Oryctolagus cuniculus: one gene and its partner. The main gene of each other region encodes a partner of the protein of the gene in region 2 in a complex. Links are inferred from orthologs where the notes say so. Each region holds a gene or a part of one and is shown on either strand. Other genes may lie near its edges.

Region 1 (3,796 bases), on a different chromosome or scaffold from region 2:
AATCATTTTTATTAGCGAAAGAACAACCTACCAAGGAATTTTTAATTCTGCAACAAAGAAAATCTTACATCAACTGATTTTAGTACCTATGGACTTTACATAGCGCTACTAAAAAAGATTTTAACAAAAATTTCTGCCTTGGAAAAAAAAAAACAGTGCTAACCGATCAACAAAAGTGGGTACGGCTGTTTACTCAAATTCAGTTGTGGACTGTGTTCTTTCCCTTTGATTCAATGCAAGGTAAGTTTATCACTTCAGAAATGGCGAAAATGAGTTCTCTGTCTCCCAACAACACGCCTAGGACATTTCAGACTTAGGTTTTCCTGGAGGGAAAGAGCAGACTTAACCATCCTGTACTCTACCGCGCTTTATTTGACAACAACAATTTCCGCTGATATTAAAATTTTTAACTCTGAGCAAGACAGAAAACCTAACGCTCGTAAACGACCCCTGTCAAGTACAGAGTCCTGCCCACAAACATACGAGGAACTTCACAAGCCCACAGAGGGCCAGGCTTGGGCACAGCAGTTAAGATGCCTCCATGCTGGAGTGCCTGGCTCAAGTCCTGGCTCTGCTTCTGATTCCAGCTTCCTGCTGAAGTGCTTCCTGGGAGGCAGCAGGTATGGTGTGAGCACTTGTCCTGCCACCCAGGTGGGAAACATGGGTTGAAATCTGAGATACCATCTTCCTTCCACCTGGCCCAGCCCTGGCCGCTGAGGAGTGAACTATGCCCTCTCTGTCCCGGTCTTGCTCTCTGTCTCTGCCTTTCAAATAAAATGAGGAAATAAATAAATAAATAAATAAATAAAGCTCATGGGAAATGAAATTAAAAGATGTTTATTTTGGTGCAAAAAATTTTGAAGTCCATGCGTATGAGGAATCTTCAAAGAGTTTTTAAAAAACTATGCAAGTGTTTCAAAAATGTTTTTTTGCAACAGAATGAACTTATCTTTCGACTCTACTATTCCATGAATTTTTTGATATACCCTCATATATGTATCTATGACAAAGCAAAATATTTCCCATTTTAATTCCTCGCTTTCCTTGTTTGGAATCAGGATGAGGAACTGAGAGAGCTTTCTGACGCCTCAGCCTCTGTACACAGAACGCCACTAATACAGCACGACCAGTTTCTCTTTCAGCAATCCCATCAGTCATATTATTGCCTTCTGTCTCCCTGTTCACCTCAGGCTGATTCACCGAGGAGTGGGCATGAAAGGCCATGCCTCCTGCCCCTCTCCATGAACTGCAAAGTGGCAGCCATTCTCACCGAAGATGGACACAGTGTGGGTCGGGGCTCAGAGGCCCTTTATTATGGCTACATCTGTACTTAGCTTCTCTAACTCGAGCAGAATTTCCAACTAAGAAACACAGTTCACTCCCAAGTAGCTGTATAGCAGCGCAGGATACAAAAACGTACAGAATTTTTCCAATCTCAACATTTTTTAACTGGCAAAAACTTCCAGCATTATACAGAAGAATCACTTGCTGTTTATGATAAATGGCTAAAGAAACAGTGGGAAACTGAAATTGCTTGTATCACAAACATCTTTATACAGGTTCTGGTCGCTTTAAGATTAGAATATGACATAACAAGATTATAACTAAGCAGATTTCAAATATTTCAAAGTGATAGGATAATTATTTAACATCATAGCAAAACAAATCCAAAATCTGTATATATCTGAAAATGAAGCAACCGTGAAAAGATAGCTTAGTCATACCATCACACATCATGCCTAACATCAACTACATAACATTCAACAGTTGTTAACAGAAACGATGCAAACAAATCCACATAACTAACCCTAAACCTGCTGCAAGGACACCTTCTTTTAAAATGCAAATTTCACAGAAGGAATTACAGAAGCAACTCTGACCCTGGGAACCTATGTACCACAGGCTCTGCACCTTAGTTTAATGAACATTCTCTCCACATACAATCCCTCCATGAAGTCCAAGGCCACAGCCACACAGTGGGCAACTCCCTTCTGCAGTGAGAGGGAACGGTGGCTCAAGCTCAGTAAGCTAACTGAAGTGTTCATCTATACCACAGCCGGGGATGCAGACCCTGCGCCTTCCAGGGGTTACAGCACCTCTGGGGGGATGCAGACCCTGTGCCTTCCAGGGGTCACAGCACCTCCGGGGGGATGCAGACCCTGCACCTTCCAGGGGTCACAGCACCTCTGGGGGGATGCAGACCCTGCACCTTCCAGGGGTCACAGCACCTCCAGGGGGATGCAGACCCTGCACCTTCCAGGGGTCACAGCACCTCTGGGGGGATGCAGACCCTGTGCCTTCCAGGGGTTACAGCACCTCTGGGGGGATGCAGACCCTGCACCTTCCAGGGGTCACAGCACCTCTGGGGGGATGCAGACCCTGTGCCTTCCAGGGGTTACAGCACCTCTGGGGGGATGCAGACCCTGCACCTTCCAGGGGTCACAGCACCTCTGGGGGGATGCAGACCCTGTGCCTTCCAGGGGTCACAGCACCTCTGGGGGGATGCAGACCCTGCACCTTCCAGGGGTCACAGCACCTCCAGGGGGATGCAGACCCTGAGCCTTCCAGGGGTCACAGCACCTCTGGGGGGATGCAGACCCTGCACCTTCCAGGGGTTACGGCAGCTCTGGGGGGATGCAGACCCTGCGCCTTCCAGGGGTCACAGCACCTCCAGGGGGATGCAGACCCTGCACCTTCCAGGGGTCACAGCACCTCCGGGGGGATGCAGACCCTGTGCCTTCCAGGGGTTACAGCACCTCTGGGGGGGATACAGACCCTGTACCTTCCAGGGGTCACAGCACCTCTTGGGGGGATGCGGACCCTGTGCCTTCCAGGGGTTACAGCACCTCCAGGGGGATGCAGACCCTGCGCCTTCCAGGGGTCACAGCACCTCTGGGGGTTGGCTTCCAAAGCTGTGGTTTCCATATTTAACAACAACCAAGAGAATCTTTTAGTACCAGCTATAATTTGGTAAAGACAGACCTTGCTTTTGAGTTGTTCCACTAAGTAAAAATTAATACCCACGACACTTTGTTCAGATTTACCTCTTTTGGGAATTAGAAGCAGTTATATTCATCCATACAGAAAGGGAGTTGGCTATTAACCTCTGAGAGGACTCCCACAGTATCACTCTAGGGTACCTGATGGCACACGATGATGCCAACGGAACTCAATCAAGCTTCCCACCTCATTTCAAAAGAAAATGCTTAGTAGCACACCCTTTAGCTCCTTTCTCACACGCAGCTAACGGTTCTAACGCTGGCCATTTAAGGAGGATTATAGCCCTGCCTGGGTTACAGTCCTTTTGGCATAATTCTCTGTTGCCATCTTTCCCTGTCTCTTGATGGAGATTACATTTGCTTCTGCTGACCTTAAAAATTTCTCACCTTGTCACATTTGGTTCCAGCCACTAAGCAGGACACATCTCCTCCCAGACGCTTGGCTGCAGTGATGGTGTTTAAAGTAATGGGTGCTAGGGAGTCATTCGCGTGTTCGGCTATTACCAGAGTACTCTGAAATCGCAGCAGTGAGGCCTAAACGGAGGGAAAAAATGAAAGAAAAAAAAGAATTTTGATACTTGTTAGGAGTGTGTGCTTGCAAGGAAACTATTTTGCACACAATACTCAGTTCTGTAACAGACGTAGGGGTGCATGTTTGGCACAGTGGTCAAGCTGCTGCTTTGGATGCCCACATTCCGTATCAGAGTCACTAAATCCTAACCCCAGCTCCACACCCAATTCCGGCTTCCTGCAATGCAGACCCAGGGAGGCAGTGGTAATGGCTCAGCTCATTGAGT
Region 2 (4,450 bases):
TACCCAAAGCAGCCAGGGCCCGCGCGGGCAGTGCTGTGGCATGTTAATCGCTTCACCTGGAGGCCTGTGGGCTGGCCACTGCCCGTCCCACCCTCACTTCAGATGGAGTGACCGAGGGGCAGGAAGGCCATGTGCCTTGGCCACGACACCTGCGGTCTGTCCCCAAGCGTGCCCCGGCAGGGAGGACAGGGCCTCGGGACCGGCTGCCCTGTGTCCAGGAGGCTCCCTGTAGATTCCTGGCAACTCTTCTCGAACCCTGGACACAGCCCCCAGGGACTGGGTTGGATGCAGGCTGTCCTTGTGCGTGGCCGGCCACGTGCTGGGGCACAGAGCCAGCACAGCAGCCAGGGCCACGCGGGGGCAGGAGGGGCAGCCAGCACACCTTCCCATGAGACATCTGGAGAAAACAGGCCGGAGGGGGTGCCGCAGGAGCCCCCCGGGGAGGGGGGCGGAGGCCGTGGGGACCGGGAAACACACAGAGGCACCTGCCTTCCCACGCACGGCCAGAGCGGGAGCCCCCCCGCCGGGGGGGGCAGAGGCCGTGGGGACCGGGAAACACACAGAGGCACCTGCCTTCCCATGCACGGCCAGAGCGGGAGCCCCGAGGGGGGGCAGAGGCCGTGGGGACCAGGAAACACACAGAGGCACCTGCCTTCCCACGCACAGCCGGAGCGGGAGCCCCGAGGAGGGCAGAGGCCGTGGGGACCAGGAAACACACAGAGGCACCTGCCTTCCCATGCACGGCCGGAGCGGGAGCCCCGAGGGGGGGGGCAGAGGCCGTGGGGACCGGGAAACACACAGAGGCACCTGCCTTCCCACGCACGGCCGGAGTGGGAGCCCCGAGGGGGGCAGAGGCCGTGGGGACCGGGAAACAGAGGCACCTGCCTTCCCACACACGGCCGGAGCGGGAGCCCCACGCCCGGGGGGGGGGGCAGAGGCCGTTCGGATCGGGAAACACAGAGGCACCTGCCTTCCCACACACGGCCAGAGCGGGAGCCCCGAGGGGGGCAGAGGCCGTTCGGACCGGGAAACAGAGGCACCTGCCCTCAGCGACTCCACAGTGTCCCCCGCGGCCTCCAGCAGCGCCAGCCACCACCTAGCACGCGCCTCGCACTGTCCCGTTTCCAGTGGTGCACCTGCCAGCGGCGAACACATCCCACGACCTCTTGCCACTGCCCATTCCAGAGGAAGGGGACAGGCACTAAAGCAGTAGGGAGTAAATTCCACTGTCCGGCGGGGGGGGGGGGGGGGGGACTCTGGGGCTGTGGCTTCAAGCAGGCGACCACGACCACGGAAGGCCCCACAGAGGTGACGACGGGGTGAGCAGTGCAACAGCTGCCAGGCTGGGGGTGGGAGGTGGGTGTGGCCACGAGGGCCTGGTGTGTGTGGGGGAGGGCGGTAGAGGCAAGCCAGGGTTCTGCAGGGGCCCTGAGACACACCTCAGTAACCTGAGGAGGTGCATGGAGGGCTTCCTGGAGGTGGTGACGCTGGGACCGGAAGCAGGGGGGGCCGGAGCCAGGGAAAGGAGGAGCAGGTGGGGTGAGGGTCCCAGAGGGGACATGGCCGCCTGAGCGGGGCCGCCGGGATCCCTAAGGCCAGGCTGAGGGGAGAGACTGCGGGTGTGCGAGGAGACTAGGGCAAGGGGCCAGGGGAGGTAGAGAGGACCCTGGAGGGGCGTGGACGGCGTCCAGGCCTGGTGTTCCGGTAGCTGCAGTGTCTGGATCCCCTGTTTGTTCCGAAAGGGGCGTCGACAGACACGCCCAGCGGGATGGAAGGGGGGCAGTGTGCAGGCGCAGGTGCAGGCAGGTGCAGGCGGGGCCGAACACGCTGGAGGCACCCGTGCGCAGGGCTCTGTGCCGGACTGACTGAGTGGAGACAGACCTGCGCCCAGGCCCGGGGCGGAGGGAGCCCTAGGGGGCTGCAGGAGTCCAGGGGAGGGGGGCTCCAAGCAGGAGCGCGGGGTCGCGCGACCCCTGGAGAAGCGCCACTCAGCCCTGGCCCACGCCCGGGAGGGAGCGGCAGGCGGTCCGGAGCTGGGCTGGCCTGGCTGGGTTTCTGTCCTGGCTGGGTGCTCTGGGGAAGACAGGGCCCCAGTGGGCCTCAGCGCCCCGGGACGGGCTGGGGGGGCACCCAGAGGTGAGCGCCCGCGCTGCTGGCACAGCGGAGCCACATGGGCAGCTCAGGCCAAGCACTGAGAGAAACGGAGGGGCTGCTTCCCGCCTCCAAGCCGGGCTCTGGGGACCTGAAGCCCCTGCCCCACCACCCCCAAGCTTGACCTTTCACCCCTGTCGGCCCCTCCCCAGCCAGAGCCTTGGCGCTCACCCCCGGGGGCCGCGGACGGGGAACGCCGGCTTCTGGGGGTCCCCCCAGTCTGCACACTCCGGGGGCTGCGGTCAGAAAGCTCGCCTCGGAGCCACGCGCCGAGTCCGAGCGAAGAACCGGGGGGTCGTGGACGGGACCCCCGGCCCTGGCCCTCCCCGGCCGGGTGGGCGCGCCGTGCCTCAGTTTCCCCGCGTTAAGCAAGGCTCGTGGCTGCTCCGGCCGCTAGGACAGTCATCGGGAGAGTGTGCACGGGGTCGCGACCTCACAGTCCTCGGCGTCTGCCCGTGACTTTGACGACTGGGTCAGGGGTTACGAGCAGACCCCCGCCCATGGCGCGCTCGTGATCCCGGAAGCCCACGGCCGCGGGGCACCACTTGGAAGCAGGAAGGGGGGAGGCCCCGGTCACCTTCACGGCGAAGTCGATAACCCTCTTGACAGCCACGAGCGCGCGCAGCTCCGCCATCTTCCCGCAGCAGCCAGCGGCCGGGGCCGGCGGCACCCCGGACCTCCCCGCCCGAACGCCCCGCCCCCGTCCCTCTCTGCGCCTGCGCGCCGCGCCGCCCGCCACTCCGCGGCTGCGCAGTCCGCGCCCCGCCCGGAAAGGTGACCAATCAGGAGGCCGGAGGTAAGGAGGGGTGTGGCCAGCGGACGCGGACCCACGGAGAGCCGGTCTGGAGCGGGAGGGGGACGGGGCGTGGCCAGAAGGGGGCGTGGCGGGAAATTAGGGGAAAGGTCGTGCGGGGGCCGGCCGCCTGCCCGCCTCTCCGAGTCGCCGCGCCCTTTGTACCCGTGACCCCGGGGGACGACCCCAGGTCAGCCGCGTGCACGGCCCCCGCCCCCCGTGGCCCTGTCCCCCCGAGAGGCGCGCGGAGCCGCGTGGCCGAAATCCGTTCCTTTATTCCGCGTCGGGACGGGCTGCGCTCACAGGCACACCGGGAAGCCGCTGATGGCGTCCGTGCTCTGCACGATCATGTCCGCCAGCAGGAAGCAGAAGCCTGGCGGGAGGGGAAGGGGGTCCCGGCGCGGGGGCTGGGGGCGCGCGGCTCTGCCAGTTCTGCGGGGTCGGGGGTGGGGGCGGGGCCGGGAAGGCGGGGGAGGGGAAGGGGGTCCCAGTGCGGGGGCTGGGGGCGCGCGGCTCGGCCAGTTCTGCGGGGTCGGGGGTGGGGGAGGGGCCGGGAAGGCGGGGGCGCGGAGGGGAAGGGGGTCCCAGTGCGGGGGCTGGGGGCGCGCGGCTTGCCCAGCTCTGCGGGGGCGGGGCTGGGCGGGGGCGGGGCCCAAGGAGGGGCGGGGCTAGGGTCGGGCCCTGGCGAGGGCGGGGCGTCCCAGGGCAGTGTCCCCTCTCCCCGCGGCCCAGGTTACCCGCGAGAATAGAGAAGGGTAAAGCCAGCCACCCCAAGAAATAGGACCAGGAGAAGAAGACGTCGTTCTTCCAGGCAGTCTTCACTGTGTAGCCCGTCAAAGCGATCAGCAGCAGCAAACCTGGGCCGGCCCGCCAGCGCCTCGGGTGAGCGTGGCCAGGCGCAGGTGGGGCCGCCGCGGGCCCACGCACGCCTCGCCGTCCGCCCCGGGCCCTGCCCCTCCGCCAGCCACGCCCCCGCGTCCCGCCCACACCTCGCCGTCCGCCCCGGGCCCTGCCCCTCCGCCAGCCACGACCCCGCGTCCCGTCCACGCCTCCAGCCACGCCCCCGCGTCCAGCCCACGCCTCCAGCCACGCCCCTCCCCGCGGCCTCCCGCCCCGTCTGTCAGGCCACGCCCACCCCTCCCAGCTCCGCCCCCGGGCGCCGCCGCCGTCTCACCGGCGAGGAAGAGGAAGGCGCTCGTGACCTGGCCCCGCAGCGACTCCCCCTGATGGCACAGAATCTTCATTCCCATCACCGTGGCCACGATGCCGAAGCCGGTCGCCAGCACCATGCACGCCCCGGTCACGGCCAGCATGGCTGCGGGCGAGCGGGCCGCGTCAGCCTGCCGCACTGGGCGCCCCCACCCGGGGCTGGGCCGGGCGCGGACCGAGAGGCCTGGAGGTGGCGCGCGCGGAGGGCGGACGCCGCCCGGCCCCGGGCCGCTCACTCTGGCAGGGGATGTTGGAGCAGGTGCCGTGGCTGCACTCCTGCCACAGGCCGCTGTGACC

Evidence for each region.
Region 1: the proteins of ETFB (region 2) and ETFA are in contact, whole or in part, in a crystal structure (PDB 2A1U), measured with the Homo sapiens proteins. The link is inferred for Oryctolagus cuniculus from reciprocal best matches to the Homo sapiens genes ETFB and ETFA. Residues at the interface, in NP_001976.1 of Homo sapiens: Ile14, Tyr16, Val18, Ile20, Val22, Val29, Thr31, Phe41, Leu102, Arg106, Lys124, Gln125, Ile127, Asp128, Asp129, Asp130, Cys131, Asn132, Gln133, Gln136, Met137, Ala139, Gly140, Phe141, Asp143, Trp144, Pro145, Gln146, Thr148, Phe149; in NP_000117.1 of Homo sapiens: Glu27, Leu88, Pro89, Glu90, Ser113, Ala114, Phe115, Lys117, Asn118, Pro121, Arg122, Ala124, Ala125, Lys126, Glu128, Val129, Ala130, Pro131, Ile132, Ser133, Arg146, Thr147, Ile148, Tyr149, Ala150, Gly151, Asn152, Ala153, Leu154, Cys155.

The regions. Positions count from the first base shown.
Region 1 is NC_091443.1:106,917,502-106,921,297, forward strand, and holds part of ETFA (electron transfer flavoprotein subunit alpha, mitochondrial), read right to left. Parts: intron 3,534-3,796; coding exon 3,387-3,533; intron 1-3,386. UniProt on the Homo sapiens protein: Heterodimeric electron transfer flavoprotein that accepts electrons from several mitochondrial dehydrogenases, including acyl-CoA dehydrogenases, glutaryl-CoA and sarcosine dehydrogenase.
Region 2 is NC_091449.1:6,947,438-6,951,887, reverse strand, and holds the start of ETFB (electron transfer flavoprotein subunit beta), read right to left. Parts: upstream 2,878-4,450; 5' UTR 2,786-2,877; coding exon 2,729-2,785; exon of another isoform or gene 2,323-2,728; intron 1-2,322. Other genes in the region: CLDND2 (claudin domain-containing protein 2), read right to left, coding at 3,244-3,317, 3,682-3,801, 4,119-4,259, 4,390-4,450. UniProt on the Homo sapiens protein: Heterodimeric electron transfer flavoprotein that accepts electrons from several mitochondrial dehydrogenases, including acyl-CoA dehydrogenases, glutaryl-CoA and sarcosine dehydrogenase.